Arabidopsis thaliana: one gene and its partners. The protein of the gene in region 2 interacts with the protein of the main gene of each other region in a pairwise test. Each region holds a gene or a part of one and is shown on either strand. Other genes may lie near its edges.

Region 1 (3,402 bases), on a different chromosome or scaffold from region 2:
AAGTGCATTGAGATATTCAAAGGTTGTATTGGTGAAAAATACAAGTTGTTTTCAAAAATCGTTTTACTTAATTTTAAATTTATTATGTTAAATATAGAAATTAAATTATTTTATGAATATACGAAATTTAAACGATTTATATACTTATCAAATCTGTTATATCAATCAAAATCGTTTTAACGTACTGCAAACTAGAATTAATTTTTAGAAAACAGAGTTGGATTATCAGTAACACTAGGTACAAACAACACATAAACGAGTTGTGTAGTATGGTAAGACCATCTGCAACCCCCATATTCATCTTTAAACTCTATTTTGAGATAATAAAAAAATTCTTCAACCTATCTTCATTTCTAACTCCAAAATAGAAATATCCAAACTTTTATTTATATTTGGAGTTGTCTTTTTTTTTTTGTTTTACAGCATATTTGGAGTTTTGTATTTTCATTTTACATCAAAATTTGGAGATTTTTATTTTCACCTCCAAAACAAAATAAGATTGGAGAAAAAACCAACTCTAAGATTAAGTTACTACTCTATTTTGGAGATGCTCTAACTAAACTCCTTCCTAGATCTAAAACTTTTTAAATTTTTAAGTAATTCACCATACCAAATCCATTTTAATTTTTCAACGTAACCCTTTAATTGAATTCAAGTGATTCGTACAAAATTCACATCATATATTGGAAGTTTTTGGAACATATTTTATTTATTTCTTCAAATATTATTAGAAAATCAATTGTAAAGTAATATTTCTAAGAAACTTGTTTTTCCCCTAAGTAACATTATGATGATCATGATTATTATCATCTTCATAATATCTAATGACTAAAAACAAGCTATATTATAAATCGAGATCTCTCATCATAAACTCTTCCAATGTTGCCGTCTCACGGTGGAAATCTTGATAATAATCCATGTGATCCAAACTTTCATCATAGCTACTATTCCCGGAGTATTCCCTCGGAAGATCTTGATCATCGTACCCGCTGCTGTAAACCGCCGAGTTAGTTTCCTCGCCTAACTGATACGACATCATTGATTCTGTACCTGACCAAGTCACGTGACGCTGCTCGTTACTCACGTGTTGGTTGACCACATGATCAAGATTGTTATTACTTCGATCGCTTGAGACTGGAAAGATAGCTTCTTTGGAGATTGTAGTGGGAGACCCGAAATCCAAAGTCACCGGACCTTTTCTGCGGTTGGATTCACCTCCGGCAGAACGTCCGGTAAATTTCTGAACTAGGGCTCGGAAATTGCTAGGGTTTGCGTTTAGGAGGGTTGTTGGTATGGCTCTCCTCGAAGCCCTAGATCTCCTTCCAGCAGCTTCATGTGCCGCGGCACCACCGTCTCCAAGGGAAGATCCCGACGATGACGCGATGTTAATGGCGTTGAAGCACGGAGTAATCTCTTGAATATTTTGTTGCTCATAGTGTTGTAACCACTGGTCTTCTCTAGAGTTGTTCATAGGGATTTTATATTTGTTTGTCAATTTTTTTTTTCTTTGGTGTAGCTTGTATACATTGCATAGGAGGTAGGATTAAGGTTTTACTTTATATGCGGGAAGGAGATGTAGCTAAGTCTTGATGGTCGTTGACGTTGACTAGTACCTTTGAGGATTTTAATATGTTTATGTACAAATAACTTCAATATAATAAATTGGGCAGTGTGTAAATCATTTGAGTGTTGAATAAGTATTTGAATTTTAAGTATTAGCATAATCTTTTTCTTAATTTAACTAATTTATGGTGTAAGAAATAGCTGAGGATTCACTAAATTGATGAAGACCAGGATTCCAAATTTTATTGTGATCATTTTATTTAATGCTAAATTGTACACTTTTGGTTATATAAAAGGTTGTTCTCTTGAGTCTTGACTTTGATGGTGGGTTTCCTAAGTGTAAGTAAGAATTTAATTGAACTAGTATAACTTTCACTACTAATTCAATTATTGTAACTTTTTCAATAGACGAAAAATAAATCATAAATCATTTTCTACTGGAAGAGAACTTGATGACATACATCCTCCAAATCAACCGTACTAAAATCAACTAAATATATCTCCCGGAATAAGTTATTCTAAAAAAGATAATAGTTTGTTTGTAACCAAAAGTTCCTAGACTAAATAAAATTAAGCTTCCATTTAGTTATTTTTATTGCTAAAAAGGAAAATATATCCAAAATGATCTATGACAATCAAACCATGTTGTTGGTTTAAACTAAATTGTAATGTATCATCTTTTTTTCCTCAGAAGTTTTATCGCATATACTAAATTAGTAATAACCGAAATGTATGTCAGGCTTCAAACTAGCTTTTCATAAGAGCGTTAACTTGTATGTAAGGTTAATTTCAATATTTTTATTTATATATGTACAAAAATATTAGTAGTTTAGGTGGATAGAGATGGAGTGATAATGAAAATAATTTTGAAAGCGAAAAATGGAGATAACGTCAAGTATGATCTTATATGAGGACTTGACTTTGATGATTTCCTGTCTCTTTGGTTCTCTTGATCGTTTACTGGTCAATGCATCTTTTGTATATTGTTTTATAAACGAATAATTTTCTCATGATTATGATTTTAAATTTGTATGATGCATTTACCAGCAATTTACCAAGTCTATGGTGATATTGATTTTTTTTTTCATCATTACAGAAGTATACAAGCTGAAAAAGAAAGCTAACACTATATATGTATTTATTAAGATAATCGATTTGAATTATCCAAATTTTACTTACTGATTCGAATCTTAACGATAGTATATGCATTTGTAGTTAATGTTTACACCCTTTCATGGTTTTTTTATTTATCAAACACTGAATTAATATTTGCTTCAGAATTAAGAAAATAAATACTGATGCAAACTCTCAATTTATAAATTTTGTTTCTGAAGATTTGATATAAAGTGTGATGATCAGCAATGACGAGAAGCTGCTTACGTCGTTATAAGTTTAAGATTATAATAAAATTAAAACCTAAATTATTCAATAATCGATTTCATCGTATAGTATATCATTCCAACGTGATTCACTTGTCCGTCGATTATTTTAAGAAAAATCACGCGTAAGTATGTATTGTCATTCTTAACAAAACCCTAAAATAAATTTAATTACCGTTAAAGAGCTGTCACTTGCCCGTCAATTAGGCGGTGGGTTGTTTATTTGATGAAGCTTCCTCCCGTTCATAAACTATATGTTATATGTGTACAATAAAAGGTATAAAATAAAATAAATACAAAGCTTGTAGTTTGTAGAAGTCACCAAAAAACACTATCATCGTATACGCCTATAATTTTGTATTATAAAATTTACTTTAATCAAAAAAGAAAGAAATATGAGGATAATTATGATATATAAACTTTGAAGGTCTACGAAAGTTGTGCACAAACTCATTAATTC
Region 2 (4,109 bases):
GGTGTATATATGTATCGTTATAAGTTAGTTTACTTTTCAAGATTAATAGTCTTTAATTAGGTTGGGTTGGAAACTCTAAAATAGTATGAGATAAATTTCAATTGTTTCTAGCATTTAAATTTTGTATGCTCAAAGTTGCTGGAACGATATGGCAAACAGAAATAATGGAATCGAAAAAATATCGTGATATGTTAGAATAAACTGAGTAAAAGTACGTTTTTGTGAATTTTCTTTTGTCATTGTAATTTGTTTTAACAAAATACAGTATTATTCTTTTTTACGTACTAATAAGGTATATTGTTGTATATATAAAGGTCAGTAACTTGTAACTCATCTTTTTTTTTTGTTTTTTTTTCTGTTTTAGCTGATAGGTGGTTGGTGTTCATTAATAAATGTCCATATATCACTTTCAAAGCAATTCACTAAAATATAGATATGTAATTATTTTTTATTTTTTCAGATTTTCCCCTTGAAAAAGGGGTTCTTTCAATTAGAACCCCACACTAACACACTCCTTCACTTTTGGCCAGCCGCCCTTCTTTTTCAGTCTTTCAGTTTATATTTTAGCCTCTTTTTTAAAAAATACTATATTTTATTGCTTTTTCTTCTTCTTAATTACTTTAGTTAATCATAGTTAAAACACATTTTTTTGTGCAAACGTTTAAGTTTTAACACTATCTGATTTTAAACTTTTAATCATTTGCATGTAAAATCACTCAAATAGGTAATATTTATATGATTCCAGTCATGTGTTTCTTAAAAACAGAGCCACACTACATGTTTCTGTGTTTATTCTCAGTTAATTAGTTTTTATGTTTGTTTTAACACAATACAGAGAGAATATTATTGTAGTTACAAAAACAATTAAGAGTGGCACCAAGAAATTTCGTCTTACCTTTTAAGACAAGATTAAAAGACCACTTTGAAATTTTGAATCGTTGACTTAAGAATAGACTTAGCAAAAAAACTTGGTCATACATATATGATATATGTGTGGGTCAACGATTCATATATGTATGATGATACATTGCAATGTGCCAAAACTTCTGGAAGAACAAAAAACGACTAATAAGAAAAAATAAAATATATAAAATGTTGCCAACATTAAAAAACGCATTTGCTGTTTCCCATCAATATTGGAGTATAGTTTATATAAGATTTTTAACAATATTATAAGCTAGTTAATTAATAGAGTTAATCTTTGGTAAAAAAACAGACGGAATTTTATAACTTTCGAAATCATATTGATCTGCATATATATATATATATATATATATATATATATATGTGGATTCACCAGACCAGATGAGATAACCATTTTGAAGGATTTGCTAAATAAAAGTTAGGCCAAAAAGAAATCAATAAAGTTTGTGACAATATCTTTAATAGTATAATTTACATTTACATAATTCAATAAGTCAAATCTTATTGTGTCTTGGTGTGCACTGTAAAGTAAAGTCCTGTCTGCTTCAAACGCAGCATAAGCAAACTTACAACTTAAATCCTCAGCCGTTGATCCAAAGACCAAAATCCAATTATCAACGTTACCTAATGTAGACGATAAAATCTCTTAAAATGGGCCCGTAAAGCCCAAGCAAAAAAACAATTACTTTAAGTGGAAGCTCACTTTTCGCCACCCTTATTAACGTCTGTCCATACGTCATAACAGATGACGTCATCATCATATTCCTTTTTTCACACGTGGCATTGAAGCACCTTCCTAGTATCTACCCTGAAATTGCTTGACATAAGTAGTAGTTGTTTAATAATCTTTATCTCTTAATTATCCTCTTTTCTTAACAAAAACTTGTTACAATAATTTTCATTTTTATATAAATAACTGACCATTATAACTCTTTCTCTTCTCTTCTTCACTTGCTCTAGTTCTTGGATGCTTTAAACCTCTCTCTCTCTCTCTCTCAATTATTTTTTTTTCTATTTCAAAAACAAAAAAAAATGAATATCTCTCAAAACCCTAGCCCTAATTTTACGTACTTCTCCGATGAAAACTTTATTAATCCGTTTATGGATAACAACGATTTCTCAAATTTGATGTTCTTTGACATAGATGAAGGAGGTAACAATGGATTAATCGAGGAAGAGATCTCATCTCCGACAAGCATCGTTTCGTCGGAGACATTTACCGGGGAAAGCGGCGGATCCGGCAGCGCAACAACGTTGAGTAAAAAGGAATCAACGTGAGTTCCTTTTTAATTATTATTGTTGGCAAGATTCTTAACCAAGCAATTAGTATTTCATTATATATAGTTTTATTCATTAATCTTTTTGATAATAAATATTGTAGTAATAGAGGAAGTAAAGAGAGTGATCAGACGAAGGAGACGGGTCATCGAGTTGCATTTAGAACGAGATCGAAGATTGATGTGATGGATGATGGTTTTAAATGGAGGAAGTATGGCAAGAAATCTGTCAAAAACAACATTAACAAGAGGTAACTTATTCATTTACAAATTACTCATTTGATCTAATTAATATGTTTTACTAGTACTTGTTTTTAACATAACATATGGTTGCTTGATAATTTTCTATAACCATCTTGTAATCCTGTTGTTATAGAATATATAGCCACTAGCTAGCTAGACCATATAGTGATTTGAATACTATTTAATGGACCCGTATTATCTACCAACCCACTTGGAATAAAATTTAGCTTCTATATACATCATGCATGTGTGTTTTGTTTATACAAATATATAAAAGGTTCCTATAGCAAAATTGATTGATTAGTGGTATATGGATCAATGAATCCATGGTTGATAATCAGTCATCGTATAGATTTATTTTGACTCATATATCATAAGAGAAACAAATATAATGAATTCATCATCTAAACATATCACTTTCATTCAAAGCATGGTTTGAAAGCAATTTACACACTCTGTAATTGGTTAATGATATTCTTATATATATACATACATATATATATATATATATATATATATATAACTTGGTGCGATATATTATAAAAGTGATTACAATTTAACATGTGGTGGATGAATTTATAATATAAAGGAATTACTACAAATGCTCAAGTGAAGGTTGCTCGGTGAAGAAGAGGGTAGAGAGAGATGGTGACGATGCAGCTTATGTAATTACAACATATGAAGGAGTCCATAACCATGAGAGTCTCTCTAATGTCTATTACAATGAAATGGTTTTATCTTATGATCATGATAACTGGAACCAACACTCTCTTCTTCGATCTTAATCCAAATCTCTCATCCTCGTTGAGATTGTAAGATACCAACAATATTAATATTATAATCTCAATGCTTTGTATAATTTGATAGGTGTATAATAAAGGAGTTACTTATTTCGTGGTTATAAATGTTTAATGTATGTATATTGCTATGAGTACATTTTGTAGGTCACTGACTCACTAGATATAAAATCTTAAGCGTATATTTATTTAAAAAGTAGTGTTGAATTTTTTTGGGTCACGGTTGTCCAAAATACTGCGATCTGAATCCAATCCTTATTTGATTAGACTCAAGAATGATTTAGAAAAACCTGAATTACTTGTATTCTTATATCCATTATTAAACCGACATTTGACCCGAAATGCGTCAGACTAAGATTGTACCGGGAAGGAAATGTGAAAAAAGCAACTTGTAAAAAAAGCCTGTGTGACAGCTCTGTAACTTGTAAGCGTCAACGAGGTCAACTGTTTCGGTTTAGTTGTTACCGGTAATTTGGTTTATAATGGATTTTGATCGGTGTGATTTATGATCCGGTTTTGGTGCGTTGTGTAGATTGTCCCGAACCGATCTCATCTTCTACCTTTCAACAACTTAAGCAAGGAAACGAAGTCGTTTCATATCTGTTCTTCCGCCCAAATCTCAAACACTAGTAAGTAAATTCGAAGGGAGTCTTGGATCTCTCTGATCTCGATCCAGATTCTCTCTACTTCTCTTATCTTCGATAGAGAAATTTGTATCTTCAGATTTATTCGAGGAGGAAGACGAACCCTACTTGATTGATTTAGGAGGTGGAGAGATCTTTCTGAACAAGTTTGATTCTGTTGGTAATTGATCTGAAATCCTAGGTTTTAGCCGTAGATCTGCTGCTTGTTTCGATCGATTTGGGAT
Region 3 (3,154 bases), on a different chromosome or scaffold from region 2:
TCAACCTCTTGGTCCTGGACAGTCACTCTCCTTTCAATATGCTAACAGCTTCTCTTACCCTCTCTCTGTTGCTTCAGTCTCTTGCTTCTGATTTTAGATACTATACCAAGTTTGGTCATTTCCACAAGACTCAAAAAATGAGAAGTATTTTGGTATTGTACTTCATGTAGTGGATTAGATTCTAACTTCAGGTAGCAGTTGAACAATGTTGCTAATGTTATTGTCAAGAAAGAGTTATTTAATTTAATGATAAGCCAAAACAAACCTTCATAGTGAGTACCATCCAAACAGTACAAGTTTTTTTTTTTTTTTTGGCAACCGATATTAAGTAGAACGTGCCAAATTATCCACTTTAACATTCAAATCATAAGCTTATAAAATCTTTCTAAACCACTCTTATTATTTTGTTTTAAGAATTAAAATTTATTATGATTTTTATGATATTTGAAATCATGCGAACATTATATTTTAGATTTATTTTTCACGATTGAAAAATAAATTATCAATTTATTTCGTATGAGAATTCTAAATCCTCATCAGGACCAATACTATCTAGATCCGAACCAAAAACTTCATGTTGAGTCATAGACGAAAATGTGAAGTTTGGAGTCAGTGGTAGAGGATATTCATAATCAACTCGTGTTGATTGCAATGAGGAAGCACCATGCATTTCTTGGGTCGAGCCATTGAACCAGGAAGAGGGAAAAGGTTCAAAACCATTGGACTGTGGCATTGATTGTGTAGGATCTTGAGGTTGCGATTGAGCCATCATATGAGAATGATACTTATCAAAAGGTTCTTCGAATTGGTCTCCATTAGATCCTGATGATTCTTCGAGTAAGCTTTGAAGATAAGCCATATACAATGAGACATCAGGATCCTCTTGAACCGCCATGGCACTGGGAGGAATCGAAGAGGTCCAATTTATCGGCTCTGGTCTAATATCTTGATGCTTTGGAATGTTTTGAGGTAAACGGTCACATGGTTGAGGACTCGTTAGTTGTTGAACAAGGCTTTTGAAGTCGTTCTTGTCTATGATGTAGACTTGCACTCGCGGTTGTGTTTGCGCCAGCTGAGGTACGGAGTTAGAGTCAGCGTTTAGTTGGTCGTAGTTACTCTTCCGCTTATTCACTCTCAAGTAATCATTTTGTGGTCGCTGATACATTTTTTAACAACAAGAATGTTTGTCACTCGTTCGCTAGGAAGAAAGTGTGCCAATCATTAGCTAGGAAGCTTCACGAGATAAGTAAGAATATTACACATATATACAACAGTTCTTTATTCATCATAATTCATTTTAAATTCCTGATTTTGCCCACTTTAGTTCTTGATTTATTTCAATAATAAGATGATCCAACTTTAATACAAGGATATTTGTCCTTTTAAATTTGTTTTCCATTTTTTCCATAGAAAGTAGAAAATATGTATCTACAGGTCATTGAAGAATAAAGCCCAATCGGTTTGGATTTGGGCCTGCATCTTTGTGTTGGTTCTGCAACTTTATTGGTTTTTCTAGTTTTGAATAAGTCTCCACCTTTGTAGGAGAAAGAATCGTGACATTAGTTTAGTTGCGAGAGTTTCGTAGCTTCAGTTGCTTTCTTTGTAAAGTCTATTTATTGACTAATCTGAATTCAATGCAAGTAAGAGTTTTTCAGTATCTGTTCTTGCAAATCTTTGTTTTTCCTTAAAGTGAGATTTGATAAAACAACAGTGGTATCAGAGCTTGTCACGAGCTTGGTACAAAAGAGAAACACCATGAGTGAAAAGGAGTCGGTGATCATACCAAAATTCGATGGTGATTATGAGCATTGGGCTATGCTCATGGAGAATCTGATAAGATCAAAGGAGTGGTGGGATATCATTGAGACGGGAATTCCAAGGCCGGAGAGAAACGTGATCCTCACCGGAGCGCAAAGAACAGAGTTGGCGGAGAAGACGGTGAAGGACCACAAAGTGAAGAACTATCTATTTGCATCAATAGATAAGACGATTCTCAAGACGATTCTGCAGAAGGAGACGTCGAAGGACTTGTGGGAGTCAATGAAAAGGAAATATCAAGGGAATGATAGGGTTCAAAGCGCTCAACTGCAGAGGTTACGGAGAAGCTTTGAAGTTCTTGAGATGAAGATTGGAGAAACAATCACGGGTTACTTCTCAAGAGTGATGGAAATCACTAATGATATGCGGAATCTGGGAGAAGACATGCCAGACTCCAAAGTAGTGGAGAAAATTCTGAGAACATTGGTCGAAAAATTCACATACGTTGTGTGTGCTATAGAAGAGTCTAACAACATCAAGGAGCTTACGGTGGATGGGCTTCAAAGTTCTTTAATGGTGCATGAGCAGAACTTGAGTAGACATGATGTGGAAGAGAGAGTGTTAAAAGCTGAAACTCAATGGAGACCGGATGGAGGAAGAGGCAGAGGAGGAAGTCCAAGCCGAGGAAGAGGTAGAGGGGGTTACCAAGGAAGAGGGCGTGGCTATGTGAACAGAGACACGGTAGAGTGTTTCAAGTGCCACAAGATGGGACATTACAAGGCGGAGTGTCCAAGTTGGGAGAAAGAAGCGAATTATGTTGAGATGGAGGAAGATCTGCTTCTCATGGCTCATGTAGAACAGATTGGTGATGAAGAGAAACAAATTTGGTTCTTGGACTCGGGATGCAGTAACCACATGTGCGGTACAAGAGAGTGGTTCCTCGAGTTGGATAGTGGTTTTAAGCAGAACGTGAGACTAGGAGATGATCGAAGAATGGCGGTAGAAGGAAAGGGAAAGCTGAGACTTGAAGTTGATGGAAGAATTCAAGTGATCTCAGATGTGTACTTTGTGCCAGGGTTGAAGAATAACCTCTTTAGCGTGGGTCAACTACAACAAAAAGGGTTAAGATTCATCATTGAAGGTGATGTGTGTGAAGTGTGGCACAAAACAGAGAAGAGAATGGTGATGCACTCAACGATGACAAAAAATCGCATGTTTGTGGTTTTTGCAGCTGTGAAAAAGTCAAAGGAGACTGAAGAAACAAGATGCCTTCAAGTGATCGGCAAAGCTAACAATATGTGGCACAAGAGATTTGGACATCTCAACCATCAAGGCTTGAGATCGCTAGCTGAAAAAGAGATGGTAAAAGGCTTACCAAAGTTTGATCTTGGAGAAG

The links.
Region 1: the proteins of WRKY51 (region 2) and AT4G20000 interact in a two-hybrid assay, tested with the Arabidopsis thaliana proteins (one study listed by BioGRID).
Region 3: the proteins of WRKY51 (region 2) and AT1G32585 interact in a two-hybrid assay, tested with the Arabidopsis thaliana proteins (one study listed by BioGRID).

What each region holds. Positions count from the first base shown.
Region 1 is NC_003075.7:10,836,436-10,839,837, reverse strand, and holds AT4G20000 (VQ motif-containing protein), read right to left. Parts: upstream 1,529-3,402; 5' UTR 1,472-1,528; coding exon 845-1,471; 3' UTR 503-844; downstream 1-502.
Region 2 is NC_003076.8:25,906,459-25,910,567, forward strand, and holds WRKY51 (WRKY DNA-binding protein 51), read left to right. Parts: upstream 1-1,788; 5' UTR 1,789-1,956; coding exon 1,957-2,198; intron 2,199-2,305; coding exon 2,306-2,452; intron 2,453-3,033; coding exon 3,034-3,229; 3' UTR 3,230-3,423; downstream 3,424-4,109. UniProt on the Arabidopsis thaliana protein: Transcription factor. Interacts specifically with the W box (5'-(T)TGAC[CT]-3'), a frequently occurring elicitor-responsive cis-acting element. Involved in defense responses.
Region 3 is NC_003070.9:11,788,013-11,791,166, forward strand, and holds AT1G32585 (VQ motif-containing protein-like protein), read right to left. Parts: upstream 1,166-3,154; coding exon 503-1,165; downstream 1-502. Other genes in the region: AT1G32583 (tapetum determinant protein), read left to right, coding at 1-91. UniProt on the Arabidopsis thaliana protein: May function as negative regulator of plant defense.